Linked DNA regions of Oreochromis niloticus. The protein of the gene in region 1 interacts with the protein of each later gene in a pairwise test. Links are inferred from orthologs where the notes say so. Each region holds a gene or a part of one and is shown on either strand. Other genes may lie near its edges. The genes, in order: eif3g and mif4gdb.

Region 1 (15,366 bases):
GAGACTGGCCACATTTTATTTTTAGCAGTGTCATGAGAGGTTTTTTTTTAAGCCTCATATAAATAAGGGGGAGATCGGAAAGGTGACTGTTGTTTTGATTTATATAAAAATGAATCGAAACTGAATTAGATTAACCTCGCCCAATTTAGTTTGCAAGTAGGAGATCTCAAACCCAAACAAATATTGAGGAGTCTCCTATACCGATCCTTGATAATGTTATTTATATCATTTAATGTGGGTTTATTCATCACATTGGACATTTAGTATCCTCCTCAAGGCTTTTGCAACAGTAAATCTTGCTGCTCCAGGTCTGTTAGCCACTGTTCGCAGTAAAACATTACCAGCTTATGCATATTTGATAGTTCGTTTTTTTAAGATTCTGTTTGACTATATGCCTACGTTAAGCTTTCCTGTATCATTCTAGGAAAGCCGGTGAACGCTGCCTGTCTATTAGAACTTAGCCCTCCTAGAGTTGTGGTGAAATTTGGAGACTCCTTATCAGCCAACTGCACTTCATCATCTGACCAGATTGAAGGAATGGGATGGGAGTCTCCATATGGAGGAGTGGACCCTACCCAGGGTGTCACTTCTCTTCCCTTTAAAATTGACTCTGTGCCAGAGTGGGAGATAGGACCAATATGTTATGTGAATTACCGTGATGGTGATCAGTGTACAGAAGTGTTACAGGTCACTGTTTATAGTAAGTAGCCTTAACTTTATCTGAGCATGCCATTGTTAGTATTCACTGAATAACATGAAAATAACATCAATTAATTTTTATCCCTTTTTGTTACAGAAATGCCAGACAGTGTGTCTTTGAAGAATTTAAGTACAGTGAAAGAAGGCCAACAGTTTGCCATACAGTGTGACGTTGTTAATGTTGCACCAGCAAGACATCTCTCTGTGCTTTGGCACAAAGGAAATTATATCATGAAATCTGAGACATTTAATGACTCCAGTCCATCTAACGTCAGTAAGTCATCTGTCCTCACTCTGACTGCTCATAGAGATGATGATGGAGCTGAGATCTGGTGTGAAGCAAAGCTGAACTTGTGGCCAGAGGAACAAGGTCCTCCTCCAGTGCGTTCAGAGGCGCATACTCTGACTGTACTCTGTGAGTTTTTAACATGATCTTAATGCGACCAACAAAATATTTCTTATTGTATTTTCATCTTTTAGAAGTTTTTCTGTGTGCAATTTGATTTCACATATGTCCTCAGACCCATCAACCGTATAAGCGCTACAAATGAGACACTGGACCTTCCAGCTGGTAAAAACATGACTTTAAGTTGCAATGCTACAGGAAACCCTGTGCCATCATACCACTGGCAATTCTCACAAGCAGCACAAGAGACGTACAAGAATCAAAATGTGAATCATTCTGTTTTGACTCGACCATTTAAGTTTCCAGGAATCTATACCTGCTATGCCTCAAACACACAGGGCACTGTGACCAAATACTTCAGTCAGCGAATCTCCATCTAACCCCTTATCAGTTAACTCGTTACATTTCTTATCTTTTTATACTTTCTTGATTTTAATTTTGTTTGCTGCATTTCAAAGTCACACAAAGGGACTGTATGTAAGTTTTTTTTAAAAAGATTAATTTAATTGTCACAAGATTTATTGTATTTTCAATTTTTTTTCTCTCTGTCTGTATTTTGATTTCACATATGTCCTCAGACCCACCAGCCTTCATCGATCCTTTAAATGAGACACTTGAACTTTCAGCTGGTGAAAAAATGACTTTAAATTGCAATGCTACAGGAAACCCTGTGCCATCATACCACTGGCAATTCCCAGAAGCAACACAAGAGACGTACAAGAATCAAGATGTGAATCATCCTATTGTGACTCGACCATTTGAGTTTCCAGGGGTCTATACCTGCACCGCCTCAAACACCCAGGGCACTGTGACCAAATACTTCACAGTCAACAAACCTCCAGGTAAGTTCTCATCAGTTAATTCACTACATTTCCCATCTTGTTATATTTTATCATCTATGAACTTTTTTTTCTTTAGGTATTGGTTCTGGGACCATTGTTGGGATTGTGATCACTGTACTTGCTGTTATTGGTATTTTGGGAGTGATTTATTACAAATATAAAAGCTGAGAGAGAATGTATTTTCAAAGCCAAAAAATTTGCTCTGTGCCAAGTTTGAATCCTCAAAGTTTCACAGCTACATTCTTAAATGTATTAAAAACATGAGCACTAGTAAAGCTCAAATAGCATGTTTTGTTTTAGCAATTTGAATCCATACATTTTTTGATTAAGTTTTTATGGAAACATGATTATTGTTATCAACTATGATGTCTGTAGTTTTTCCTTCTTTCAATGTTTTAGTGTTTTGCTTTTTTGACACCATTATAATTAGACAATAAAGTCTCTCTTTTCAAATATAGGCTTCATTTGTCGAGACCACAGAGATTCACCGTGTAGTATTAGTACTGTACATTATCAGTATTAGTATGTCCTCACTAATGCACACTAGTTTTCAGGTATGATCTCCTGAAAACAAGATTAGTAACTTTTTGCAGCATTGCTCACTTGCCACATGTTGTCTTTTCTCAATTTATTTTGGATCTGAAATCCAGTTTTACAAGTGTGCACACATTAAATCAAAAATAAAGTTGATAATAAGTGTCATGATGGTCATTATCTCTGTCCAGTCTTTAGGTCTTGTAAAGCCAGCTAACACTTTTGCCAGTTATGATTTTGTGATGAACTTCTTTCCTCTTTTCTATTTACGTCTCCAAATCAAGAAAATCAATGTATGTAGTGTTTGTCAAATGTCGAAGACGTAAAGGTTTAAATCAGGATAAAAGCCTAGACAGAAAATGCATTAAAGAAAAGAAATAATGACAAAGACATTTACAACTACTCTCTTTATTATGGTAACAGCCATATTTTACCATGACAATAAAATATGGAATCTTCCTGGGATTTACACTGAATTCCTCAGTTGTTTGACGGTCTGCAAAGAGAGTGAAATTTAGTCAGCAACAAGATTACACAACATTATGATAAGTACATTGACAAAACTGACAGACTGAACTCACTTGGCCCATTCAACATTGAGAATAAGATGATCATATCCAAATCCTGACACTCCCGCAATGGCTCTTGCTGCATCCTCCCGACGGTGGAAACTGATAAAGGCAAATCCCTGTTGGAAACAGGATGAGATTACTGAACCATGCTCAGTTTCAGTTCAATGTCAACAGTTTAAAAAAAAGGAGAACAAAACACACCCAAACTCAGCAGCTGATACTTAAAAAAATAATACAAAAACGACAACAATAAAGCCAACCACTCAATTTTCACTTTCACCGGAACACTTGACGGACAACATGTTTGTGTATTTTCTTACAAACAGAAAACTAAACACTGTAGTCAATTTACCAGCTACACCGTCTTGGAAAGAGGTTTGTTAAGAAATTGTTGCTGACACTTTATTAAATCAAATGCTCGCTTTATAACTGACCTTCGACTGTCCCGTGTTCTTGTCCTTGGCCAAATAGATCCTTGAGATTGAGCCAAATGGTCTGAAGAGCTCCTGCAGGTCTGTCTCACGGGTGTCCTCAGACAGGTTGGTGACACGAATGGTAGCATTGTCATCAGCTGTCAAAAACAAACATAGTGTTTCTATTGAACAATACTTGAGGCTGTGCAGGCATTATCAAAGACACTACCATTACATCATCCACTGGTTTCTAAAGATCTGTTTTGAAGCCTTGAAGTTTAGCATTTCCACTGTTGCCACCTCGGTTGCAAAAACTGGACGCAATTAGGGAGGCTGGGTGTGACTGTAACAGTGCAAGGTCAGTGTAATGTCTTGTGACTGACAACTCATTAGTCATCGAGCATGCAATTTCATCTTCCTTTTTGAAACATAGCATTACCAAAACTTGCAAAAAAGTTAAAAAAAAAAAAATAATAATAATAATAATTTATTCAGTATGACTGAAAATAAGTGAGAGCCCATAATCTAAGAAAGCCTTTCCCTCTAAACTTCTATAGGACTGGAAGTCTTTTTGAAACCCTGCATTTCTATCGCCATCTGGTGGCAACACAATAGAAAGCCACCAGATGGCTGCGTTGCTGCACTGGCTTCATTTTTCTGATCTGGAAGTTACATCCATGTTTTATAACGCCTATGGCAATTTCTCAAAGAGTAACGGGTATGTATAGTATAAGCAGACAACAATGTGCACCCACCTCTGCGGTTAGGCTGCATGGACTCCCCTCTTCTGGTGCCTCCATCCCTCAGGCTCGGAGGAACATACTTCCCGGTCTTGCTCTGTGCAGGCTGTGCAGGCTCTGGCTCCGCTGGTGAGAGGAATAGCATGCAACATTAGTCATGATAACTTTAGGAACACCAAACTGCAACAGAACATCTGACAGCAAAGATTTGACTCTATGAATGGTATGTTCATGATACCTGAACCAGCAGCCTTCTCTTTGTCTCCAGTAGAAAGCCCGAGCTGTTCAGCCAGCTCCTTCTGCATTGGGCCCAGGGTGTCCTTGTACGGACAGCGTGTAGTCCAGTGATCACCTTTGCAAATACGACAAGACACGATCTTCTGTCCTTTCAGTTTGTTCATCGGATCTTCATCCTGGTCTTGAGCGTTTAAGTCCTACAAAATGAAAAAGATATATCAAATAAAAAGGCAAAGCTACACCATAGTTAACTTTTTTCTTTTTTAATTAGAACACCATACAAAAGCAACAATGCAAAAAAAGCAAGACTCGCACCTCTTTGCTGGAGATGAAAGTCATGAAGACATCATCGCTGACGGTAGTGGTGGCAACATTAGGGCCTGGTGCATCATACTCGGAGTTACCAAATTTCTTCCAGTTCTGAAATGAGTGCAGGATAATGTTTGACACTGAGTTTACCATTTTGTTCATGGATAAAGTGGAAAAAGGTTTACTTTTATTTAATTTAAAGACAGACCTTTCTTCTGGCAACAGCTTTTGAGGCTTTCCTTGTCTCAATCTTAAAGGTTCGCACAATCTAGAGGACAAACAAACAAACAAAATTAACAGCAAGTAAATCGATATTAATATTAAATAATAATATTACAAACAAGTCTCTTTTTATACACCAAGTGAAAATATTTATGAAGGTTATGTTAAAAGGACTGGTTCTCATTTAGCAGTCATCTACTCTACTCAGGCTTTATGCAACATGTCTCATTCACCAATTAACACGAGCATTTTTTTCTACTTTGCTTTCTATCTAACATTAACACTTCAATGAAAGCATCAGGTTCAGTGTCTTGCCCAAGCATAGTTTGGCATGCAGACTGGAGCAGCAAGGAACCGAACAACCAACCTTCCAGTTAGTAGATGACCTACTTTACCGCAGCCACCCTGAACTAATGCACCTCTAATAAAATGTATACAAATCTTGAAAAATGCAGTCAGTGTTACTCAAAGATTTCAGATGAAACTATGACCTCTAGAGGGCATCTGGTATCAATAAAAGAAATATTAATTTTCAAAGAATGAAATAACCTGATATACAAACCAATTAATGACTACACCTGTAGCTTTGCTGTATAACGTGTCAATTGAGAAGTTTGTAAATTTAGAAAGAAAAAACAAGAATGGGTTTTAACATATATTACTCATAGCTTATGAAGTTCTAATGCTTAAAATAAATTGTACAACCCATCATGTACCACAGGGTTTCAGAGGTGGAGACACCACAGACTAAAGCCTGATAACCTTACACAATCGATGATAAACCTTATCACACTCAGTTACAGAACTGCAGTTATATCAGTAACCACCGTATTTCCTGCACTTTTTTGTGCAGCCATTTTTCATGCTCCTCCAGAGCCCTGTTTTAGACTGCAATTACTACATGGGAGACATGCATGCTTAGCAAAGGATCACTGAGTGGGAGAAAAAACTACTTGTCCTACAGCACTAGAGACAGTATCTATATCACCTTAACAAAAGTAATGCAATCACTGCATCCATTCTTATAACTCTATTGGTCTACAAATGCAATGATAGATGCATTTTTCACAGTTTAAATATAATCAAGATAAGACTTTGTATAATGAGTCTTATAAAAACGACATAATAAACGTTTTATTACCTTGTACTTCTTTCCATCATCGTCTATTTTATATTCCGTGACAGTTTTAATATTTCCTTTGATGGTCTCCTTGGGGGATGGCAGTGTGCCTGTGAAGAAAACATTCAGTTTAGTCCTTGAAACTGCTAGAAAAACGATCGTTTTTCATGCCTTGTTTCTGAAGAGCTTCGTTTCCCTCGTATTCAATCAAATTCTCAATGAAAGCACCATGAAGGCTCATCTTTTGATCAAATATCCAGTTCTGAATTGGATTTCACACCCAGGTGCTCTTATTTGCGATAAGACACTTATTAACTTTTAATTACCTGTGGCGCTGAAATCCTACTTCTAACACAGCTGTGGTGCTAGCGCAGCCTGCTAGCTGCTAGCTGCACTCATGTTAGTACCGAGAGACCCTGCCTACGTCACTGTTACAGGCCTCAGCATATGTCGGTAACTCTTTTCATCAATAAATCGTCCATCCATGTCAGTCACACAAATATATCACTCCAGCTTTTACATAATTAGACACCCCACATGTCTCAGGTAAACGCATTTTTAACTCTACGTTTACGCCTAACAACCACGTGGAAGTGGAAACCGCCTAGCCGGCCTCCTTCTTGAATCACTGGACTACAGCAGATGTGTTAGCATTAGCTAAAGCTCATAATAGGCTCTTTACCTTCATCTCCTTCCTCTTCAACTTGATCAGCCCAGCTGGGCTTGGAGCTGAAAGACAGATACGAAAATGCAACGTTATTTTGAGCTCAATAAAGACTTCACAGTATGAAATGAAACAAACAGAACTTACTCGTCGTATTCAATCGACGGCATCCTCACTGCTAGCTTCCCTTTAGGACCGGAGCAGTATGAGTCGAGCGGCGTCGCTACTGTAGGCACTTCCTACCCACTTCACAATAAAAGTATAGTGTAATCCTTTTTTTTTTTTGGCTTCAAAATAAGAGTGCAGAACTTCTTGTCCAAAACCAAACCAAATTAAAAATCGGGGTTGATAATAATCTGGAAAACTTTACGCAAATGTAATTTAGGTTTAAATCAGAAAGCAATATCTGAGATCTGAGGGGTTAAAAAAAACAAACAAACAAAGACACTAACATGCAATTTACATGAACATGAAATTTAATTTAAAAGGTTTTTTAAGGGCAACAATAACAAGGATCTTTATTTTTCAATTCAAACAACTACATTTTTAAAGGGGCCTCTACTACACAAAACCAGATTAGTGAAAATTAAATAATATTCTGGATTCTTTCAAACCTTCCTCACATGTTTGATAGTAGAAAAGAAGCACTCTCAAGAGCAAATGTTGGGGCATTAGAAAACGTTTATTTCTAGCATATTTTGCAAAGCACTGTTGGTTTGCATTCAAGTCAAGGAACATAATGTATTTCTGGAATTTGCACCTTTACAAATCCTTTGGACAGAGGTTGCACCACTGCAGCCTGTCTCACTCAAGTGGTAGACGTCTGTAATTGTGCTAAGTGGTTGTAAGGGTCTTGGGGTCTATCACTGTTTCCAAAACGTGTCATTGAGAAGAGGATGATGGTCGGTCAGCTTTAGATGCTGGTATGTTGACTTGATTTAACATGTGGTCAATTGTAGTAAAGCATTTTAAAAAAGGTTGGTTTCTTGTCCAATTTGGTGCAGTCTCTCCTGCAGACAACCAAAAAGTCTGAGATGCATAGGTCAAAAATAAATGTCAGATCTGCTCAAGGGCCAGATGCATCTCTCAGGTCCTGTGTCAGGACTGATCATTTGCCATACACAGCTTGATTTTTTCAGACCCATCACTTCTTCTTTTGTTCTGCACTTGTTCAGTTTCCTCAGATTTTTTGAAGGACACACTGCACTTGAGTAATATCTCGTTAGGAATATATGTTGTTGATGCAAAAAATATTTTATTTACCTTTGGCAATTTTTATAGATTCAACTAAAGTAATTTGAATAAGTTAAAATATTTTTCTGAGAAGCTCCTAGTAACAAAAATTAAAAGATACATTTAAAAATTGGTTCTTTGCTATGTTGTCTGTTATGCGTAGACAACACTGGTTCATCTTTTGGGATAGAGGACTTTTTTAATGCTTGAATGATGCATATGTCAGTATAAAATGGTTAAACAAACAAACACACAAACAAAATGTTTTTCAGGTGATGTGATCAGATGCAAGGACTGGACTGAAAATATTTGTGAAAAAACACAAAGACCTGTACGAAGAAACCATAGAGAACTATTGCTCAGGAGCACTTAAAAATATAAGAAAAGCTGGCTCCTTGGAAGCAAAATAACAAATTCAGTATAATTTTTATTGCTAAACTAGGCCAACAGGAAATAAAAGAAAGATAATGAAAGTTTTTTAGATGCACGACAAAGCAAAAAGTTTTTAATACAGAAACTGTTTGAAAAGTCATAATGCAGACTATTAACACTTCGAAATAAGATAGCTACAAGAAAGCCGAGCAAGTGCTATATGCATTGCATGGGTTAGACTGTAGACAAAAACCACAAAAAGAGCAGCAGCTCATCACCCACCGATGTTGTCTTCTGGGCTTTTTCCACAACACGCTACTCTCATACTGTCAAACACAGCCATGTAAAGGACCGGATGGATACACATGTTTACAGTTGCCAGTCCCTTTGACGCTTGGTACATATCATAGATCCAACAGACAGTGTTGTCTGGATGCAACAATCTTAGATACAAGTGATAAATCTGAAAGAAATGATAAGGCATGAAAGAAATGGCATACAGCACAAGCACTGATGCGACTAACAGGGCGACTTTACGTTTCTCAAGAGGGGTTATGCTGACATTCTTCCAAACTACCCAAATCACCACACAGTAAGAAGTGAAAGTAACCAGGAAGGGAACCAGACACCCAAACACAGAGAGAAAAAACTTGTAAACGTAGTGAGGGCGTTCAGTCTCGTTGCAGAAGGACACACACTGAATTTTGTCATTAGTAGCATTAGAGCAAACAGAGGCAAATTTCAACACCGGACTGGAAATGACTCCAACGATGACCCATATGATTATACTGGTGACCTTGGCGTGGCCAGGCGTTATATAGGAGCGGGTGAAAAATGGACAAGCGAGGGCCACGCATCGATTCACGCTTATCGCCATGATGAAGAAGATGCTCACATATAAGTTGCATGTGAAAAGAAACTTTTCCAACTTGCACACAGCGTCGCCGAACATCCAGTGCTTGTCCTTCGAGTAGTAGACGATCAACAAAGGCAGGGTGAGGACGTACAGCAGGTCGCTGATGGCCAAGTTGCATGACAGAACAACACCGGTGTGCCAGTTTCTTCTTTCTTTGACTACCAGCAGCCACAGGGCGAACATATTTCCAGCCAGAGCCACGACAAACTCAACCCCATACACCACAGGCAGGGCGCCTGTTTGAAACTTCTCACATTCAGAGAAGTTAGACGGCATGCTTTTAATTTGCTTTTAGGTACACTGTTAGAACTGTCCAAGCCCTGCAAATCAAAGCATATTGATGCATTAAATTTCATTATCTAATAAAACAACAATTATTAGGGCAGAAATTTATATTTTTGTAGAAAAGGAAGTTATTGAAGCTATTTATAGAAACTGCTTTTCACTATCTAAAAGTTTAAAAGCGTTACAGCTAAAACAGAGATTATATTTAGTAATGAATTCTTTTTTTCTCTTACCGCAAGGGTGACGAATAGTGCCTTATGACTTGAAAGTTAATTCCTGTGTGATAGGTAGGAAAAATGTGAAACGCTTCTCAAGTACCATTCTTATCTCTGTCAATGATAGAAGTGAGCGAGAAGCGGAACGCACGCATGACCATAGAGGCAACTTCCTCATACCCTTTGTCTTTATTTCACAACTTGAAGAAGGAAAAGCGCTACACCAATGTCAAGCATCTGTAATAATTAGTCACAGGACAGATTAGGCATGTTGTAGCAAAGCTGTGTGGGCATCCATATTTGTTCTTTTGAAAAATTCTTTCCCTTCATCTGCCATTAGTCTAATTTTGGGAGGATCTTTTTTTTTTTTTTTTTTATAAATTATAACAAATGTAGTCTATTCCATATCACATACAGTAAAAACAAAAAGTCAATTGCTGACCAGGAATTTTAAAAAACGAGCCAACATTGTACTTTTGAGGTGCTGGGCCAACATGCACTGCAGGAGCTGCTTTGATTATTATTACAAGTTTGGCTATGACTGTCAATACACCACTTCCCTTTTTCTTATCTTCAATGCAGCTCTGAATTTCACGTCAATATCTTGCGATATCAAATGTTCAGAACTGTAAATTTAAGCTTAGAAAATGTGTCATAGCAGTTATTAAATATAGTAAAAAGGACTATTAAAGGTCAGTTTATTTTTATGATCGTTAAACATTTGAATCTTATCATTTGTCATACTTTATTTTCAGAAAGATCAACATGTTTTCCTTTCAAGAACGTGTCAAAAACAATAGGTGACATTTGATTTTTTTCTTTAAAAGTCTTAATATTTCACTTCATTTTAAACTGGTATCAAAATGAGCTCATGTAATGCAGTTATTTTTAATTTAGCTTTCCCTCATCTATAACAGTGTTTCCATGTCAACACGCTAGGACAGCAGCTCAGGAAGAGATACCAAGAGTTGCTGACTGCTTTCTTCCAGCTTTGTAACCCTTTACAGTTACTTGAAAAACAAAAGATCAATTAAAAAGAGACAAACTGAGAGTCAGTTTATTTACAGAACAAATACAGTTTGAAATTCAAAGATCTTTGCATGACAGAAAGAGGTCGGTTTTCTGGTGACAAATATAAACGCTAACAGGAAACTCTCACAGGCATCACTTGCAGATAAAGCATTCGCCAGTTAAATAACTTTTCCATGTTTCCTGTTGGAAACAGAAAATTTCTCCAAGTCCAGTTTAAAGGGAAGTACTGAAGGTCAGCCTTTTCCCTTCCTCTGTTTGAAGCCTTGCTTTCTTCCTCCTGCACTCTTATTAAAGCCCATCTTGCCTTTCTGACTTTTAGACTTGAATGGTCTGTCCCCATTTCTCTTCTTTTTCCCACCAAATTTATCCTGCTCTCCAGCTCTCTTTGCTCCAAAAGCCTTTCCTGTTGGCTTCATTTTCTTCCCAAATGATTTTTCCCCATCCCTGGATTTCTTCCATCCTCCTTTCTGTTGTTTTTTCCCTGTTTGGTTTCTATGCTGTCCTCCTGGTGATTTGGAACCTCTGTCTTTTAAAGACTGACCAGGGGACAACTTCCTCTTCTTGGCAGGTCCATGAGATTTTTCTGAACTCCTCCTCTTCTTCTTTCCACTTGGAAACATGCCTACATGGAAAACATCTGTTAATACTTAAAAAGACCCCAGTGAACTAAGAGAGTTAAGTAAATTAGCAAGTCACCTTCTTCTGGCTCCTCTCCTACGGCCTGTCTGTAGTACTCTGCCTCATCATCAGACTCGGCATCAGCTTCCTGACCGTCCTGAGCTCCTGGATCCTCCACCTCACTGTCCTCTTCAGCTTCGGCACGTTTCTTCTTAATGCCTTCCAGGCTCTTTTTCCTGTGAAAATCAAGGAGACACCGTTCCTTCTAAACCGCATAAAAAAATGGATACAAAACAAAAGGTCAAAACATTTGAAAGCCAAATCACCTGTGCTCTTCTTTTTTCTCTGTCTTCTGAGCGATGTTCTGCTCCTGCTTTTTCCGGCGTTCCTCCTTCTCTTTTATCTTTGCCTCCTTCCTCTTCAGGATCTCCTGGATTTCTTCTTCCGTCTTGGAGACTACAAGGATTGTACAAATAATTCCTGGTTAAGAACAGATTTTGCCACCTCCCAAACGATAAATAAAATTCTGAAAGTTCAGGGTGTATCAGTAAGCGTTTACTTTTTTTAAAGAGAGAAATCATAGAATTCATACTGTTTTTTTCATCATGTACACCCCTGCACATGCTAAGGAATAAATTAGGAAAAGGCTGCGCTTACTCATGGAGTGATATATGACGTTCCCCTCGCCCATCCCTTCTTGAATCTTCATTAACCGCAGAGTCATGCGAGGACCAATCTGAGAACAGCACAATGCAATTTTCAGCACCACTCAAACACTATTTAGGAAAAAAAAATCAACTGTGTGCATACGCACTTCGGTCAAGCGGACGGCACTCTGCTGGGACGCCATGTTGCCTCTTCCAGAGTAGACCTGTGGAAGTTCAGTAACGTTGTGCTCCTCATCTTGCTCAGCTTCACTTTCTGAGAGGTTTGCCCCCCTGAGAACGGTTACGAAGAACATTTTCATTAGACAAAACTCCAGCTCACCAACAGCTACAAATCCGAGCCCCTTTTTATCCTGGAGGATACAGCAATTGTACCTTCAAAAGAACCTTACTTCATCAGCAGCTCACTGATATCCTCAAACTTGTTCATATTGGGGAACCTCTCCTGCATCAGCTTTTTGACTCCACGGCTCACTCCCACAGGGACAACCTTCAGGCTGCTGCAGGGTGGGAACAACATATTGGTCAATTTCAATGTGTAATCAGTAAACAGACTAACAAAAAAATGCTTTTATCCTGTGGGGGCTCATCAGTGCGTTTACTTTGGACATAGATCACTGAACAGTCAAGTCAAGGTCTGTCATCATCTGAGCCCAAATTTCACAGGATTGTTGTTGAACGTAAGTTTAAGTAACTGGAACTAGTTTTGTGTACATTTCTAAACAGCGCGTCATCTGTGATGTGCGTGCAGATGTATAGATTCAAAGCGTTGTGACCTGATGCTTACAAGCAACTTAAAATGATAAAGAATAGCCAGTTTTTACTTACTAATGTCGAAATTCAATTTCCTCGGACTCGGAATTGTAGCTTAACAGGACACACCTCTTGATGGTGTTGAGGCTTATCTAAAACACAAGAAACAGAACAAAACATTTCTCTTCAGTGGCAGTCAGGTTTAGTCTCTCAGAACGCTGAATGGATCAACAGAGAGATCAGAAAGCGTTTACTTTTGATAAATCTTCACATAAACTCAGAAGACTATACTTTCATCATATCAGTGAGGTTGTAAACCTCGAGTCACCCAAGGAAAAAAATATTGCAGCAGCTTTAGTGGTAAAACACACCTTGTGCACATTTATGGAAGGAAACATGTTTTGGAACATGGTGGCCATGAGTTTGATATGCATGCCATCTTGTCCAAAGTTATTGAGGATGAGCAGCGGATGATATTTGAACTGCTCCTCGTGCATCCTGTGCTTCTTCAGAGATGAAACGACATCTTTGATAAGACAGTACTGAAAAACAAACAAAAAAAACAACAACTTTGTAAAAGTAGGAAAAAGACAATCAAGAAAGAAATCGCAACTTTGGTACTTTGGGCACATCAGTGCGTTTACTTTGAAAAACATCATTTATTAATCACATTTTAAAATGTCATCATCTGAACCCATGACTCATTTGATTTAGTTTTATTTGGTATGCACAGTTTAAATTATTTACCTTGGTGACCTGGAAATGAAGCATGGGACCTTTGGGAAGACGAGCAACTTTCTGTGAGAAGAAGAATGTTTGATTTGATTAACAGAGGCACGGATTTCACATACAGTTGCAAATGCATTTGTTTACAGTTGAATATAAGGATTCTCAACTTGATGTGACAGGAAGTCAGGTGCTTTTTAATATAAACAATATAAAATGTACAAATTTAAAAGGTCTGTATCTAATATTTCGATATTTTCAAATGACTTAACTACTTTAGCTCTGACACCAAGCACATTTAGAGGTAAATTATAGGCCTCAGTCAATCAATCAATACTCTAAGGTCATCTTACCATGTTGATACTGGTGGGTGTTTTGCTGAAGATGTTGAAGTGCGTCACTCCCAGTGGTCCTGCTATGGCAACAAAGTCTTTGAGCACATTCTTCTTCCTAACCTGTTGTTTGGTTTTTTTTGTAAAAAAAGTAAAACGATTTCACGCACAGTCCGCAGAAATAAAATATGAATAAATCAATACAAAAGTTGCCTAAAGAACTCAAAGAAGGGACCTTGAGAGAGACTGCGGTGTAGGGTTCCATGACTTTCCGGATATCGATGATGAGCTGACCCACGTTTTTTCCAACCTGGCCCCGGTGGAACACCAAAGTGTGGGGCACAGCCAAGTAAGTCTGCTCAGCCTCATGGTTGGCCTGTAATCGGGATTTCTTCTGATTCCGGGTCTGTTGAGGGTGATAAACACATATTAGTAAAGGGACCAATGATTTTCGGACTGTTGCTGGTCTCACGTTAGCTTTAAGTTTGGTGAAAAGACTGCTAACGTGAAAGGGTCTCACGACACAACTAGCTTTACTAACTACACACATTTTCATACTCATCGCTAACTACAACTCGCCAACAAGGTTTCCATTTAATAAAAGTAACAGTTTGGTTTTTAGCAAACTAACAATGATTAAATACCCTCTTTAATAGCAGCATTTCAATCCACATCGGCTAACCTTTTAGCACAGGCCGGTACTTACCTTTGATTTCCCCATAATTCAGCTCGAAACAGAGCTCACAAATGTAATGGGGAAAAAAAACACACTCACAAAAACTATCGCTATACTATACTTAAGCTACCAAGAACGATCGTGCTCATTTTTGACGATATTAATCAACAGTGAGTCCAAACTTAAGTCAACGTGACGCCACCCACATGGCTCTACTGCTTTTCCAGTGTGTGTCACAGGCTAATACGTCCGTATTTCTCGTTTCTTCGATAGTTCCTAGCCGCTACTTTGTTTTTTTAAAAATTGCAGTTCCTCATAGTAACCGCTGGATGGCCGTACACAGCTGAGACGGCTGCATCTCTTTGAAAGCTGGTAATCGCCCCCCCCCCCTCCCTTTCTATGGTAACACCAATACTGATACATATTCTAATAAAGTTCAGTTCAATATACTCAATAAACAAGAACACAGTATTATGGAAAAGTCTTGAGCCATAATGGTAATTTGCATCTTGCAATTTGCAAGGTCTCAAACTCAAACACACACACACACACACACACACACACACACACACACACACACACACAAGGAAAACAATTGTATTCATTATATTCATTCTATAGGCAAACATTGGCTTATTTGAAGTTCAACAGTTTAATGATACAATTTTTGATAGGAAACCAATAAATGTAGCATCATGACGTTAATGAGAGTGTAAAGTCTTTGTCTCTCTGACATAAGAAAAAAAAGTGTTTATTTGTTTTGGCAGTATAGAGAAAACCAAAAT
Region 2 (16,201 bases), about 6.6 Mb from region 1:
ATACTAGAATCTCCACCACCGAAAACAGAGAAAAGACTTCCTGAATGGCCTGTTATGTTCCACACACTAGATGGGTGACTCCAATTAGCTGTAGTGTCACCTCTGCTAATTGGTTATGCCACATCCTACCTCCTCCTACAGAAGTGCAGCTGGTTTGGGTATTTTAGAAACTATATTTTGGAAACTTGGATTTTTCATCTTGTTAATATCAGAGGTTAGAAGAGAGTGCCCAGACAGTTTTTATAGGAAGACAGCATTAACTCAATTTCTCTTTATAGTTAAAGTAAGAAGAACAGCATCTCTGACTGTGCAACATGTCAAACCGTAGAGCAGATGAACAACAGCAAAAGACCACAGCTGTGACTACTGTCAGCTAAGAACGGGAAACTGAGAGTACAGTTTTCTCCTGACACGTCTTTCCCTTGAAGCAGTTAGTTGTAAGACCTTGAGAAACCTGTGTGCAACTCCACTAATATTTCCGCATTTGCAGCCTCACCACATTAAATAAATCTGCAAAGTCCCATTTCCAAAAAAACTCGAGATGCTGTGTACACTGAAAATACAAAGAACGCAATCACTTGTAAATCTTAAACTCGTATTTTATTCACTGTAGAACACAGAAACCATATCAAATGTACCAAAGTAAGAAAAACATTAGCTCATTTTGAATCTGATGGCAGCAACACGTCTCAAAACAGTTGGGACAGGGCCCTGTTTACTGCTGTGTAGCATCCTCTCTTTTTTAACCATGAACATCTGGGAACTTAAGGATACGAGCTGCTTGATTTTCTAGCTTCTCAACAGTCCTGGGTCTTCTTAGCTCCATTTCATATTTCATGATGGGCCAAATGGTTTTAAGAGGTGAAAGGTCTGAACCGCAGGCAGGCCAGTTCAGCACCCCACTTCTACTACTACTAAGCTCTGTTGTGAAACACATCTATTTAAATATTTGGTGTGCTTTCTATGTTTTATTGTTAATAAAGTATGGGTTTATTAGAATTGCAGATCACTGTGCTTATATCACATAAAAACTGCATTCAAATCTAATAAAAACAATTCTAAAGATTCCTTGTCTCTCTTATATGTCACTGCTCCAACCCAACAGACATGACCATGGATGAAGTAAGAGAGTACGAGCGTGCCACACAGGAAGCCACCAACCTGAAGATTGGCACTTTCCCCCCTACCATTTCCATCTCAGAGAACCCCCTGCCATCTAGCACCCGCAGCGGACCCAACAGCGCCCCGTCCACTCCCCTCTCCACCGAAGCCCCTGATTTCCTGTCAGTGCCCAAAGAGCGACCCCGGAAGAAATCAGCTCCAGAGACCTTGACCCTGCCTGATCCAGGCCGCAGGGATTCACTCTTCAAGCTTCCAAGCTTTTTCTCCTGGAACTCCAGTCCGCAACCAGAATGAGAGCGGGGCTAAGCCGCTGTTAAACACCCCTGACCTGCGTATTAGTGGAGGATGCCTACCCAGCACATCCTGCAATGTTCCCTCAGCCATCTGAAGAAGAAGTGACTGTCCCGGTGATCCCAGCCCCTCAGCCGACTCGCCGGCGTTCCAGCAAAGCCAACAGCTCTCAGACTGCCTTTACAGGTACAGCTAGGCATCCACAGCAAGGCCCGCCAAGTGTAAAGGTGTAGTAAATCCCAGCGAGAGTCCAACAAAAGCACCTGCAGGCTCCTCATCCTTTACTTCTCCTTAGAAAACAGCCAGTCTGCACCTTTCATTAATCAGTATGGAGTCCAATTAGCCTGACTGAGTGTAGCATACATTCCTGAAATCGTTTTATCCCACAGAGTGTCACCTTGTTTTCATCCAAGCTCAGGGTGTGTTGGTGAAAAGATATCTAGAGACTCAGTGCACATAAACTTAACATTTGTTATCTGCTTTATCTTTAAACATCTCTGGCTTTGTTCATTTATTTGGTAACTGAATTATGTAGTTGGGACTCTTGTTGGCCACTGTAACAGTCGAGTATTATGGTTTTCACAGTCAGATGTAAGGTGATTGTGTATTCTTGTATATACTGTATGAAAAATATAAATGTGACTAATTCAAAAAGAATATCATATCAAGTGATGAAGCTGCTCTGACTGTAATGTGTCTCAGCAGCCATGAGGTCTTCATGAAACAGCATGATTCTTGACTACCGGGGCTGCCCTTAAATATTTGTGAACTGAATGTTTTCCTTATCTGAGCCTCATATGTGATGTCGTGTTTTACAGGAGTTTTTACAGACTTGGTAATGTGGTGTTGTTTTGCTGCTGTATTGACTTCATTGTGGTTTTATTGTGTTCATTTACTGTCATACTATTGATGGGTTTTGTATTCAGTACATTAAAGTAAATTCTGCTGCATCTGTTACTGTGTGAAGAGTTTGTTAATGTGATCTATCTGAATGGAAAGACAGTCGTGTGGCTCATTCAAATGCAACTTTGGAAACCAAGTCATGCTGTATAAATTAGAATTAGAATCAGAATACTTTATTGATCTCAGAGGAAATTTTGTGGCCAGATATGCTCCAAGACAGTAAGAACAGTAACTAACAAGTTGAATTAGCAGTATTAAATAAGACAATATATCGCAAAATAGCTCCAATATATAAATATCTCAACATATTACATGAAATTGTATATAGATGAAGTTGAAACTGAGTTCCCCTTCTTATCATACTGCAGATAATTTATCTGAATTTCAGGAGCAAGGCCCCACCTGCATACACACCGCTTTCTGATCTGTCTACATGCTCAACCTTTGCTACCTTTTTCAATTCATACACTTCTCATTAGTACAGGCAATCGCCTCTGAGGCCTTTCCCACCAAAGCAATATCTGCTAGAAACACTGTCAAACCTAAATGAGGATGTTGTCACAGCTAATGAACTCTTTGTTATTTTCCCTGTAGAGGATAAGCAGATATTAAGGAGGTGCAACTACTGCGCTGTGTACTTATGCTTTAGATGGAGGAATTGTAAGAGAGTAAGCAGTATGTGTGCATTTATGCAGGGAGTATGCATCCAACATGCTCACATTCAGTTATTTTATTTATTTTAAATATATAAACCCAGGTGTGAGCTCTTTGTCCTCACTTATTCATTTTTCATCATTTAGGGGGCATGTGATGAACCATGACCATGTACCAAACTTCAATACATAAACTGTTTTTTGGGGTTTTTTTAATCTTTAAAGGTGTCAAAAGGCGTACGATTCATACGCACACCTCTAGTGAACACTGTGTTCATCCTGGTCTACACATCACACACGCAAACACAATTCCTTAATCAAAACTTTATTGAAAAAATAATAACATCATAGTGTTCAGCAGACACATCGACACAACTGCTTTAACAGTTTAACGTAACACAACAAACTAACTGAACTCTCAGTTAGCAGTCCCTCCCATACCCAGTGCTGTTTTGTCCTCCATAGTATATAATGCAATAAATATTAAGTGCTTTTTTTTGTCTGTGCACAAAACCAACACACAATCCCAAAGCTAAAGCAAAATTTTGTTGTATTCTCTTCTTGCAACTTAATGAAGTCAAACAGTTTGTGTAAAATGACACAAAATGCTCAAAGTGTGTAAAGTTCAGTTTGAACATTCAATGCTAACAAGTATCCACAAACTTTTTTAAGCAAGTATCCACAAACCTTGAAATCCCACATTAAATTCATGTTTTTAAAAAAAAAAAAAAAATCCAGCTCTTTTACGACACACGCTCAAATGACATCACAAAAACAAACATAATGCAGTAATTTTTCTGTCCTGATATGTAAACACAACAGAAACAAATGATGATATTGACCCAGTTGACACATTTTTTCAGTGCAAGAAAATAACAAGGCATAAGTTAGTTTCCAATGTGCGTGATTTTGTGTGTTGCTTCCCCGCCCCCTTCATCATCTTTTGTTAAAGTCTTTGGTGATGACATTTGTTCCCCGTTTCTCCTTGAAGTTATGCATGGCGTTGAGGAAAAATTCATACCAAAAAAAGGTGAAGCCCGTTGAAAGCGCAGCTTTTACGAGACTGGGGGACAGGCCTTTGAAGAATCCTCGGAAGCCCTCCTCTTTGGCTATTTGAACCATGCAGTCGAGCAGACCTCTGTAGCTCCGCACCTGCACAGAACAGACAGAAGACAATGCTTCACCATCAAACCCAGAGCGCTTAATCAAATATGATGAAACATGCTGTTGAGGAGCTTACCTGTCCAAAGTGAGCTCTGGCTGCTTCAAAGCCCCCCACCTGCAGTCTCTTCTTGAACAGATCGAAGGGGTACGTGATTGTTTTGCTGATCATTCCAGCTCCACTCCCACAGACCAGACTTTTTAAGTTTCCTTGAACATGAACATAAAAAGTGACAGGATTTTAAACTCAACCCTGTGCATGTGTAAACGCTGCACAATTAAGAGTTTCCACTCACCTCCCGAGTTCCCAGCTTTGGGTCGTGGAGCCAACAACTTTTTAAAGATGTTGTAGAAGAAGAACTGCAGGCCAGCGTAAGGAAACACAGCCAAGAGCGTTGGTGACAGGCCACGGTAAAATGTTAGAGTTCCTTCTGATCGCCACATTGTAGACACAGCATGTCGCAGGTTCCTGTACACCTGGAAATATAAAACTGGGTTTCAGCAGTATACCGTGAGTGATTCTGCCTAAGGCAGGAATTAGAGAATATTTAACATGCTTTATGAATATTTCATCGTTGTAAGACTTGAAACGGCCTTCAATGCTGTTGGTAGTGTGGGAAACAAAAACCTGTGTCCAAATCCTCAAATATTTCTACATTCGCCTAATTAAACACATTTGGATATCTCTGTCCTCAACAGACAAGTGAGCAAAAATCAATACTGGATGCCCGGGATCATTTCGGGTCCTCGGGCGGCATGATTCTGTCATGGAAATCAGTGCATGGGCTCAGGAACACTTCCAGAAATCATTGCATGATCCACAAATGTAGGTTAGAGCTCCATCGTGCAAAGATAAAGTCATATGTAAATGCCACCTTCTTCTCTGAACCAAAGCTCATTTAAAATGGATTTTGGCAAAGTGGAAAACCTGTTCTCTGGACAGACTAATCAAAACGGTTTACTTTTTTTGGAAAATATTGACGCTGCATTCTGCAGACTAAAGAGCAGAGGCACCATCTGCGTTGTTATCAGAGCTCAGTTCACAAGTCTGCACCTCTGGTATGGCGGTGCGTTAGTGTCTCTGGAATTGCCACAACTGCGCCACTGATGCTGAAAAAATATATACAGGTTGTAGAGCGATATGTGTTTCCACTTAGGCAACGTCTTTTTCAGCGAAGGTCCTGCATACTTCAGCAAGACATATGCTAAACTAAATACTGCATCTATTTGTATGTAAAGGTTTTAGAACAACATATGCTCCCATCCATACAAAATCCAGCAGCTGGTCTCTTCAGTTCCCAGACAATTACAGCCTGAACAGCCTCTTACAAAGTGGTAAACAATATGTTATGAAATATGTTTCTGTTATCAAATTTAAAATGATTTAACATTTTTCTTTAAAATTTCTCAGCTTAAACACTTACTATATTTTCTGTACTCTTTAGTGAAAAAATGTGACTTTATAAGATGTGCAAGTCATTGCATTCTGTTTTTATTTACATTTTTCACAATTCTGTCAAACATTGACAGCGACAGGATCAGCAATGATTAGTCCCACCTTGGGTTCTCCCTGAGCTGCAAAGCGTGTCCGCAGTGTGTCCAGAGGCTGGCAAACCACTGTGGCAGAGCAGGCTGCCAAGCCGCCACAGACGAAATGAACGCCTGCTGTCTGGCTGTCATACGGCGTTTTCTCATGGACCAACTCTGTCAGAAACTCAAAACTCGCAAACTGCAAATTGGACACAATAAAAGCAACTGTGTTGTTGAGATTGTTTACAGTAATATAATTGTTCTGCTTAGCCTGCAGTTCACAGTTCACACTTTGTACCTGGACAGCTCCGTAGCAGATGGAGAGGAGCTGTGCCGGGATGTGGCCCTTCCAGAAAGCAGACAGTCCCTCCTCTGAATGAATGCGGCGTGTTGCCTGAAATATCCCATAGTACTTCCCCTCTGGTGTTTTTGAAGACACGCGCTCGATCTGCAGCTACAGGGGGGAAATACAGATAAGAACACAACACAACCTGCATCTATCAGGCTTCAAGAGTTGTGTGAAGAGATTAAGGTTTTTATTTCAAATACACTTTACTGTGTGAACAGTGTGGTACTGAATGCAAATGTTTGCACATGCTTTTAGTACAGTCACCAATTGAAATGTGCAGTTACTGAAGAAAATACTGAAGGTCATAGCTGCTACTTCACTGTAATCTTCAAAGTCAACATGAATTCTCACTTCTGTCCCAGAACAAGTACCTGAAATCTGATTTTAATGACGTCAAAAGGACTGATGAGGGCTCTGGTGACCATCCCGGCAGCTGAACCAGCGAAGGCCGCCTCCTCTGGGGACAGAGGTGCACTCTGGACACCAGGGTCATAGCCCACCATGTCTCTACAGCCTTAGGTTTCTAGAAACTCTAATGAAACAAATGACCAACCCTTTGTTCAGTTTAACACAGTTAAAAACAAACTTTAATTCAAGTTTAAATAGATAAAGATAATCTTAACTGCATCATGTTGGATGATAGGAGCTTGTTTTGTATGTATAATCTTAAGAACAGGTGTTTCAAAACTGTATTAAAGTGAGTATTTTGATATTTATAACAGCAGCTACATGCTAGATGTTATAAAACCTCCAGTTTGGTTTTGGGGGATGGACTTTGGAATAATACACAGTAATATATAACTCCTCTTTTCTATATACTTTTCAATGAAAATGAGAAATGGGTGCAGCAATTTACTGAAACATGCTAACATACATGGGAATGCAGTATATTTTCTGTAGATTTTTTTTTACTGTTCTAACAAGCTTGAAAGTCAATGTTTGGTATGACCACCTTTCTTATACATTACAGCCTGAAGTCTCTTAGAAAAGCTTTCTTGTAATTTCTTTAAGTAGTTTTCAGGAGAAGTTCCCCATCCATGTTTGGGATCACTGTCATTCTGAAAGCCTCCACCATGTTTTACAGATGGCTTTTCTCCTTGTCTCCCTTCCTTAAGCATGGCTTCTTGACATTCACCCTTACACTGAGACTATTTACAAGGAGACTTCAGTGAAAAGTTGATGGATCACCTGCAGGGCCAGTTGGATATCTCGTGCCCTGTGTCGGTCTTTCCTATTTCTTAAGGACATGGCTTTCATTTGCTACCCACCAGTCCAGTTTCCTCAAATGTTTTAAGGATACGCAACACTGGATGATAACTTAATTCGTGTGCCCTTTTATGCCTGAATGACTCATATGCTAGTGTTCAGTGGTTCAACAAACAAACAAAATTTTATAAGCCTTGAGGAATTATTGATAACACCACTGAAAAAATGTCAAGTATGTCTGCCTCCTCCGAAGTAAAATATAAAGAAACGAAACGTGGGGTGGCTCAAGACTTTTTCCCAGCAGCTGTTTCCTTGACATTACATTTACAGCTCCACCCATGTCATTCGACATTTGTTAGGTGTCTGTTAATGGCTCGTTTTCTTCCATGGTCACCATTTATATAATTATAACACAACCATAAAATGCCATAAAGACCAGAAAAGTTAAAAAGAAAAAAAAAACAGACATGTGGAGGACATATAATAAGACCTTGGAACTAGCTAAGCTAAGCTAAGATAAACTAAGAACAGAGCAGGGATTAACTTGACAATAATGGTAACAGAAGCAGACAAATATCACCGTACCTTCATAAATACCACATCAGCTCCAACGGTGAACCTCAACTAGTACAGTTCAAAATTAGTAGAACAGGAACAGGTTTCTACTACTTGCTAGCACGCTCCTAATATTACTGCCGGGTCGGAAGAGATTCTCCAAGACGAAATATCACGTCAAGATAAGTTCCTGCCTCACTGCACCGTGTCAAATTCAGCAAGCAACTACTTAAAACTCACATCCTCTTTTATTTAAGACATCTATAGCGTAGACAGGTGTCGAAAGTACAAGAATAAGGGCTTCGTTTACGTTAACTTTGGGTTAGGTGAAGACCATAGGGTCTGCGGCGAAGGAAAAGGAGAAAGGAGGGACTCATCTTTCTGTTGATACTTCATCTTCGAAAGGTTGGGGTTGCGTCGAGGAAAGGCTGCCTACCAGAGCATACCTCTACCTGAGCGTAGATGTGACGAATTGGCATTAAATAGGTATAATTGTCACATAATTATCCTCCATTTGTTGGTCAATTATTTAACCACCGTTTTCTTTCAGTTCGGGAAAGTATTTACCCGTTTGTACCTTTCAGCGGGCGGTTATAACGCAAGTGTAGGCTGGGTATTAAACTCCACTTTGATTCGTTAGCGTCAATGCTAGCCATTAACGTTTGGTTTCCACTACAGCTGTAACGGTTGTTGTTAATGTTGAAAACAAAGCTACCGTTAGACGAAATTTTACGTGTTCTTACACTAAACTAACGTTACCTAGTTGAATATGGAATATGGAAGTAACATTGGTGTGTCACATCACAAGTTGAAGATAACTTGGCTCGTGCTTGGTTGGGTGTTCGGTGAACTTTTTAGTTGACCTGGGTTGTATAATCCCCTCCATCCCTCAGTGAATGAGCTGCGGCCGGGGGCCAGCCAATTTGATGACTGTACAGGATTTTGCATGTATTGTGGTCACCAAAAGTGCCCGGATGTCTCCGGCTGTGGCCTTTTGATCTGTCTTTGAAAAGCTTATATTCTGCATGAAAACACCTGCAGTAACTGTCTGATTTCCACAGGTGACAGCCCTCCCGTGTAATTTGTTTACTTGCATCTGTAATGGAAAACTCTGCTGAAGACTACCGGATCCAGTCATTTGACCTGGACACGCAGAGGTTACTAAAAACAGCCTTGAAAGGTCAGCCTTTAACTTCTTCATGTGTGTCATTTTTGGACGCTGTTAAAAAAAAAAAAGCACTTAAACATAATGCTCTCTTTTTCAGATCCATCTCTGGTGAACCTGGAGAAAGTATCCAACATCATTGTGGATCAGTCTTTGAAGGACACCGTGTTCAGCAAAGAGGCTGGGCGTATTTGCTACACTATAGTGCAGGTCAGTAAGACCCAGCTATATATTGCATTCAGGCTCCCACTTTTTGTCCACCCTCCCACTGTTATCTGCCTGACACTTTGCTTGACACTTTCTGCAGGCTGAAGCCAAGCAGAACAATGGAAACGTGTTCAGGAGACACTTGTTGAACCGACTCCAGCAGGAGTTCAAAGAACGCGAGGAGATGAGGGCACGCTCTCTGCAGGAGTGGATGTGCTATGTCACGTTCATCTGCAACATCTTCGACTACCTCAAAGTAAGAGCCAGAGAGAGTTTTGAGTTTTAACATTTAGGAAGGGGAAACACAAAGCAGCTTTGTTAAATCACTCCGATTAAAAGTGGAACCTTTTCATTGCCCGTATTAAGAGGACATGCTGCTTTTTTTTCTTCTTCTGTGTCCACACTGCAGATGAACACCTCCTATAGCTGCATTTTTGGGGTCCTAATATGTTCACTGCAGCACATTTAAGTGTCCAGGAACAACCACTAAAATTTGAACAGATGCTAATTATGCTGCTTCTAAAATCTAGGTCATGTCTCATGTAGTAAGGGGTTTATTCATTGGCAGTGTAAAGATGAGCCTGAAAGGTGTGGTCCTAACACACTCAGGTTTCATCCATGCTTGGAGCCACTGGCATTTTAAACAGAGTGATCCTTATTGGAAGACTACTCAATCCTGGCTTTTGTGTAAGAGAAATCAGAGTCAAGGACTTACCACAGTTTCCTTTTCTGTTATGTTGATAATACTTAGCTGCTGTAAGGACTCCACACTGTGTTTCTTAGGTGAACAACATGCCGATGGTGGCCCTGGTTCATCCTGTGTACGACTGCCTGATGAGGTTGGCCAAACCAGACGCTCTAATGAATGAGGATGAGGTGAGGAAGATATCTGGAGAAAGTATTTATCAGTCATTTACATATAAGTGTAAAAGTGCTATAGTGGTTTTCAGGACTGATTGGGGGAGTGGGTTTGTTTTGTATAGTCAGTCGATATACCTCCTGTTCCACGGGGTGTTTTTGTCTGACTACAAATGCATATAAATCCCAAAAGGCCAATAAAAAAACTAAATCATCTCAATTGATTGCTGAAGCTTTCATAATTGCATTTTGGCCAATGAACTTCCACTTTTTTTCTGCATAGTAGAAGAGTCACCTTTCATTTTAAAGGTTAAAAAGACTTTAATAGCCATTTTTCTACAAAGTAGCCAAAGGGTTGTAATTTTGAGGAAGACCTCAGTCAGTTTTTGGCTCCACATTGTTGTGTACAAATGTTTACAAATATGTGTGTATAAAAAGAGAGATTATTTCATGACTTTTAACTTAATTTCAGTTGAATTTTAAATTCTATATAATACAGATACGTGGCAAAGGCATACTTTTTAGTTCTTAATTTATGCTACCACGCTTGTGTGCGTATTTGCCTATGAAGCGCCTACACAGAAGATTTTCAACCACTGCAAATGTGCACCCATGCCATCCTCCAGCATCCTAACTGCACATTGTTTGACATGGATGACACTGTGTTGATTAGTTGAAAAGTGGGCCAGAGAAGCACAAAAAACCCCATCAAAGATAAAAAAAAAAAAAATGCAGTATGAGAAACACAGGCAATGGCCTCTTTTAGTTTTACTTCAGCTCTTTGTAGGCTTCAACTTCACTCTTCTCTGTGGCTGGGTGGTGACCAATAACAGCACATGTAAGTGTAGTCCACAGATCTGTTGTAGCACATAATATTTATACTGCCCACATCTGGGCAGTCCATAGCTGCCGACAGTTTACCCTAACTACCGCAAAACCATAATCTCCCCTTTAGTGTGACGTTCGTTTTTACTGAGGCGTCTCCACCTTTCTCCACAGGTGGACTGTCTGGTGGTGCAGCTGCATCGCATCGGAGAGCAGCTGGAGAAGGCGGACAGCCAGCGGATGAATGACCTGTTCTTCCTCCTGCGGGACGGCTTTCTGCTCCAGGAGAGCCTCACGTCCATGGCCCGCCTGCTGCTGCTGGAGATCCTGGAATTCAGGGCCGGAGGTTGGATGCTCAGCAGCACCGCTCACAAGTACTACTACAGTGAAATAGCTGACTAGGACTCAAGGAGCAGGGCGCTGAGCACTAGAGCCTTCAAGCACCTTGGACACCTCTCAAGCGCCACTGATTACAAAACCAGCTTTTTGAGGATAGATAGCAATATCTTCCAGGCAATCTGAGGAGGAGTTTGAGAAGATGGTGATTTCTCTAAAAAGACTGATTCAATGTTCCTGAAGCGTGCTGTGGAATGTGCAATAGGTCATGCGGAGCTGAAGTTGAGTTAACGAGGTTTGACCACATTCAGGTTCACTTTGTCTTTGTTTCAAAGACATTTGTGTTCAGGTTTGATGCAGCTAGAGGAGCTGAGGCAACTTTTTTTTTTACATTTTTAATCATTCTAGCATTCCTGTTTTGAGAGAATATTCTAACCTTAGTTTGTTTACCAAATCCAAATGACATTCCAGTCAGATGAAACCTGATTTGATTATTTTGATATTTTAGTGTAAAATTTAAATTTTGAAAAGGTTTTAAATTGCGGTGGGAAGAGTTTCTGCCTACTTTGTTCTGTAAAACTCCTGTTAGTGATCAGTTTGGCAGAGTCTTAATTCAGGGATTTATTTTATTTTTTGTTACTAACAGCAGACCAAGCGATTGGTTAAACCGCTTTTCTGCAGAAACATCACTCAGATTCCTTGATATAAAATATTTGTTAAACAAGCTGCGTCAATGTAACGTGAATACCATCACATGGTACCAACGACTCCATAAAGACTGACATGTTTATTTTTACCTTAAGAAGCTGAGGGCAGAGTGTTTTCTCCTCCTTTATCAGAGCTCCTTTTGCAGGTCAGTTACGATTGCAAAGCTCATAAAAAAGTGTTTTTTCAAAACGATTTAACTTCTCTTTACACCAGCAACACTACATTTGATAGTCCACCATGGCTTTCAGGAGTTTCCTCAGGCACAGGTGCCCTGCTGTTAAAATATTTCATCTTTCAAATGTGGTCGTTTTCATAACCACGATCTGTAGAATGTATGTTGAAATTTGACTTTAAGGCAGTCTGACAATGATAAAAACAAAGAAGTTACTTAAAAGCCGCTCACAGATGCACTGAAGTATTTTGTCTCCTAAAATAATTTTCTTTGTTAGTGTAGGGATTTAAATTTCAGCTGTTGTTTTTTTTTCTTACAGATTCTTGGGTCAAATCAACAAAACCAAGAAAAAAATAAGTTTGTGTGTTAAACTGCAATGAGTCAAAGAAGGACTTAACCAAATCCCTTAATGACTCCACAGACCTGACTGTAACATGAATCTATTTTTTACTACACTTTCCATTTTTTCTTTTTTATGATTGGGTTGTGCATTAAATGAAAGTTTGTTCTAATAAATCTTTGTAAGTTTGTATTTTTTGCGTTTATTATTGCAAATACAACACACTTGTACACAGTACAGCTTCCTTAATACAAAAGTGACAGTAAGCCATGTTCAGTTCTTCTTTATACACGCTTCATCTCTCTGACAGCATTTTACAGTCCATATGATTTTCACGTCTCAGCACTTTGAGCGGCTGCAGCTCTTTGCAGCCGACCTGACTTCTGTCCAGTCTGTTAGTCATCAGATTTCAGTCGACGCCATTGCGCTGCTTTCTACCACCAGCGGTAGTGAGCATAGGCTCTGTTGGCTTCAGCCATCTTGTGCAGCTCATACTTCTTCTTGATCACGTTGCCCTCTTTGCCAAAGGCCGCCAGCAGCTCCTGGGAGAGTTTTTCATACATGTGCGTGCGTCGGTGTTTGTTGTCCTGGCACTCTGTGATCATCCACTTCATTGCGAGGAAGCGCCGCCTGTTGTCCGTGAGTGGAATGGGCACCTGGGTGAGGTCAGAGGCCAAGAGGAATGCAATTACTCGCCTTTATGCTTTGCGGATATAAGATCAGCAAATGTGTCTAAAAACCAAACCACAAAGACAAACTGTGCGTTCCATTTTTAAAGTGTGGAAGCTTTCGAAAAGCATCTTTTGTCCTGTCTCCCTCCTCTCATCAGTTATGGCAGATGACTGCCTCTCCCTGATGCCAAATCAGCTGGAGATTTCTTCCTGTTAAAGGGGAGTTTTCCTTCCCACTGTCACCAAATACTTTCTCATAAGGGTCATGTGACTGTTGGGCTTTTCTCTATATTATTGTAGTCTTTATGTTGCCTCAAGGCAACTTGTGACTTGGCTCTATATAAATAAAACTGAATTGAATCTTATTTTTCTGAGTTTTCTGTGCAGGCAATGGTGTGTGTCATTACTGACCTGGTAGTACTTTCCACCTTTCTGTATGCTGGCTAGCCCAACGACAGGCTTGCAGTTCTCCAGAGCCTGATGGAAGATGGTGTAGGGGTTACACTCGATCACTTCCCTCTCCCCCTCAGAAGCTTTGTGATACTTCTCCACCTGCTTCTTCTTTATGTTCTCCAGCGTCTAAACACAAGACAAACAGTAGTTATCTATTTACCGTTTATTTAGACTGCTGTTGACATGTCTGGTATTTATTATTAAATTGTTTTTTTTACCTGTGTCATTATCTCTCTAGCCAAAACCTTGTTTCCATGTTCCATCATCATGTTGATGAATTTACTGAAAAACAAAGACAAAAATCATCACCTGACATGAACGTTCCTATGCACACATCTTTCCTGTTGTTGTGAGCTGAGATGTGAGTCTACCTGATGACTGGGTCATCAAAAACAGAGCTTGTGACTCCGCTGGTGGCTGCCTTGATGGGCCTGAGGGCCTTGAGCTCGCGTTGTTCCTTCTCCTCGGCACTCAGCTCCGTCTCTGGTCGGCTGTAGGCCTCCTTGCTGACTTCAGGCTCCAGATAATAAGGGTTGTATCTGCTCCATCTCACCAGGAACACACTGAAAACAAATAACAGGACGGAGTTTCACAAAGTTACTGGGTAGTTTGTGCCTGCAGACAGACCTCACTGTCAGCTGAAGAAAAAAAAACTTAAACTAATCCTAATCTATCAAACAAAATCCTTTTTGTGTTTCTCTAAAGCAAATGGTTATGATTGGGGTCATCACTAATTATACCTCACAGAGTTAATCAATTGGACCATTTACAAGGAATCTATCACATTAAAACTGTTCAAATTTTTTTTCACTTTCCTATGGTCACGTATCCTTGAAAACCCTGCTGTAAAACACAAGGCTAAGACCCAAGTACACAGTAAACAGCACCACTAAATAAATCCAATAACAGACTGTCAATACACAGCAGAAATGTCTCTGTGAATCAGGGATTTCTTCATTATTTGTCAGTCAATCACCAAAAATTATAGTATTTCTTCTTCTTTTTTTTTTAAATTTGGGTTCACTCAGCTTCTTCCCAGAATTATATAGCTGTGAACTAAATATCTGGGTTACAGGCTGCTGGTCAAACAAAGCAAGATACTCTAAAAGATGTCCACAGTCACCACCCACTTCATTTGACACACCTTGCTAGTTGCCCTTTGTATTAATTTTCAATTTTTTTGGCATAAATTCAAAAAGGTGTTGGAAACATTCCTCAGAGATTTGGGTCCATATTGACATGACAGCACACACAGTTGCTGCAGATTTGTCACACATCCATCATGTGAATCTCTTGTTCTATCACAAACTAACGATGGTTTATTGGAGATGAGATCTGGTGACTGTGGCAACTTTGAGATCATGTGAGCTTTGTGACTTGGACCATTCAGAAAGCAGCAATCAGAAGATGATTAACTCTGGTCATAAAGAGATGGACATGATCAGCAAAAACACTTAGGCAGGCCCTGGTGTTTAAATGAAAGTTGGTGCTAAGGTGCTCAAGGAAAAATATCCACTACACCAATGCTGACCCTACCATCCAAACGGCGCAGCAGAAATCAAGACTCATTACACCAGGTAACGCATTTCCAATCTTTTTTGTCCAATTTTGTTGAGTCTGTGTAAATTGTAGCCTCATTTTCCTGTTCTTAGCTGACAGAGATGGCACCCGGTGTGGACTTCTGCTACTGGAGCTCATCTGCTTCACCTGTCTTCCTCATTCTGATGGTCAGTTTGAACTTAAGCAGGTCGTCTTGACCATGTCTAAATGAACTCAGTTGGTGCCATGTGATTGGCTGATTAGATATTTTGTTAACAAGCAGCTGAACAGGTGTACCTAAAAACAAACGGCCGATGAGTATATTTGCTGATTTGTTTTATAAATAATAAAAAATAATAAGTGAAAACGTGCAGATATTAATTATATGTGGGATCCATTTGCCATTATTTCCAAAACGTCTATAGGATAAAATAATGTATTAATAAAGAAGAAAAATTGACAATTCTGTCTTAATAAAAATAAAAATGTGCTAAACGCTGCACCCGTGCCTTCACCTCTTTGGAGGACTGTTTAAATGTAACACCACAGCTAGTTAGTTTATTTTGTAGCCACTTAAATTATATTAATGTATAAATAACGTACAACTCAAAACCGCCTGCTAATGTGTGCGTGTTCGTAAAAGACTTTTTTTTCTTTTTACCTCGGCGTCCAAGGTTTTAATAATCCTGAGATGGAAGCAGCCATCTTGAAAGTGTGAGCGTCGGTTAGGACCCCGGGTTAGTAGTCTCGCAGGTGCCTTTGGAATAAAAACAAAAATGTTGCTTTCTGAAAATTCTCATTTGACATTTTTAGTCCCAAAATTGAAGAATTATATATTTTTTAAATAAGATATGTTGTCTTTTTGTGAAAATAATTCCGACAATTATTTTCTTCGGACTCTCGCGGACACGCCGGTGACATCACGCGATGTTTGTAGTGCTATGGCGTACCAGGAAGGGGAGTCGCTTGAATCTTGGCTCAGTGAGTTATTAATCCCATTTTTATTAATTAAATAGCATGGCTAATTAGCTAGACGCGTTGCTCCGCTGTGACGGGGGAGAAAATCAACGTGTGCAGAAGCTGTCAGCACCTCGTCGAAAGCGGCTTTCCTGCAGTTTGAGCAGAGATCCAGGCTGCCAGCCCAGTCCAATCAGTGT

The links.
Region 2: the proteins of eif3g (region 1) and mif4gdb interact in binary tests that used the Homo sapiens proteins (3 or more experiments, as listed by UniProt). The link is inferred for Oreochromis niloticus from reciprocal best matches to the Homo sapiens genes EIF3G and MIF4GD.

What each region holds. Positions count from the first base shown.
Region 1 is NC_031969.2:23,963,219-23,978,584, reverse strand, and holds eif3g (eukaryotic translation initiation factor 3 subunit G), read right to left. Parts: upstream 7,047-15,366; 5' UTR 6,929-7,046; coding exon 6,906-6,928; intron 6,824-6,905; coding exon 6,777-6,823; intron 6,205-6,776; coding exon 6,116-6,204; intron 5,021-6,115; coding exon 4,961-5,020; intron 4,864-4,960; coding exon 4,759-4,863; intron 4,641-4,758; coding exon 4,445-4,640; intron 4,333-4,444; coding exon 4,222-4,332; intron 3,625-4,221; coding exon 3,488-3,624; intron 3,170-3,487; coding exon 3,063-3,169; intron 2,978-3,062; coding exon 2,962-2,977; 3' UTR 2,870-2,961; downstream 1-2,869. Other genes in the region: ppan (suppressor of SWI4 1 homolog), read right to left, coding at 8,638-9,567, 11,048-11,433, 11,508-11,665, 11,756-11,885, 12,087-12,165, 12,244-12,367, 12,487-12,594, 12,923-12,999 and 5 more. UniProt on the Homo sapiens protein: RNA-binding component of the eukaryotic translation initiation factor 3 (eIF-3) complex, which is required for several steps in the initiation of protein synthesis.
Region 2 is NC_031969.2:17,393,634-17,409,834, reverse strand, and holds mif4gdb (MIF4G domain-containing protein B), read left to right. Parts: upstream 1-8,103; 5' UTR 8,104-8,256; intron 8,257-8,831; 5' UTR 8,832-8,871; coding exon 8,872-8,950; intron 8,951-9,035; coding exon 9,036-9,145; intron 9,146-9,242; coding exon 9,243-9,398; intron 9,399-9,925; coding exon 9,926-10,018; intron 10,019-10,999; coding exon 11,000-11,227; 3' UTR 11,228-12,557; downstream 12,558-16,201. Other genes in the region: cytoplasmic phosphatidylinositol transfer protein 1, read left to right, coding at 1,106-1,416; slc25a19 (mitochondrial thiamine pyrophosphate carrier), read right to left, coding at 3,906-4,121, 4,210-4,340, 4,427-4,607, 5,689-5,859, 5,959-6,114, 6,381-6,512; mrps7 (small ribosomal subunit protein uS7m), read right to left, coding at 12,816-13,037, 13,464-13,631, 13,724-13,787, 13,877-14,068, 15,706-15,749; gga3b (ADP-ribosylation factor-binding protein GGA3), read left to right, coding at 15,896-16,025. UniProt on the Homo sapiens protein: Functions in replication-dependent translation of histone mRNAs which differ from other eukaryotic mRNAs in that they do not end with a poly-A tail but a stem-loop. May participate in circularizing those mRNAs specifically enhancing their translation.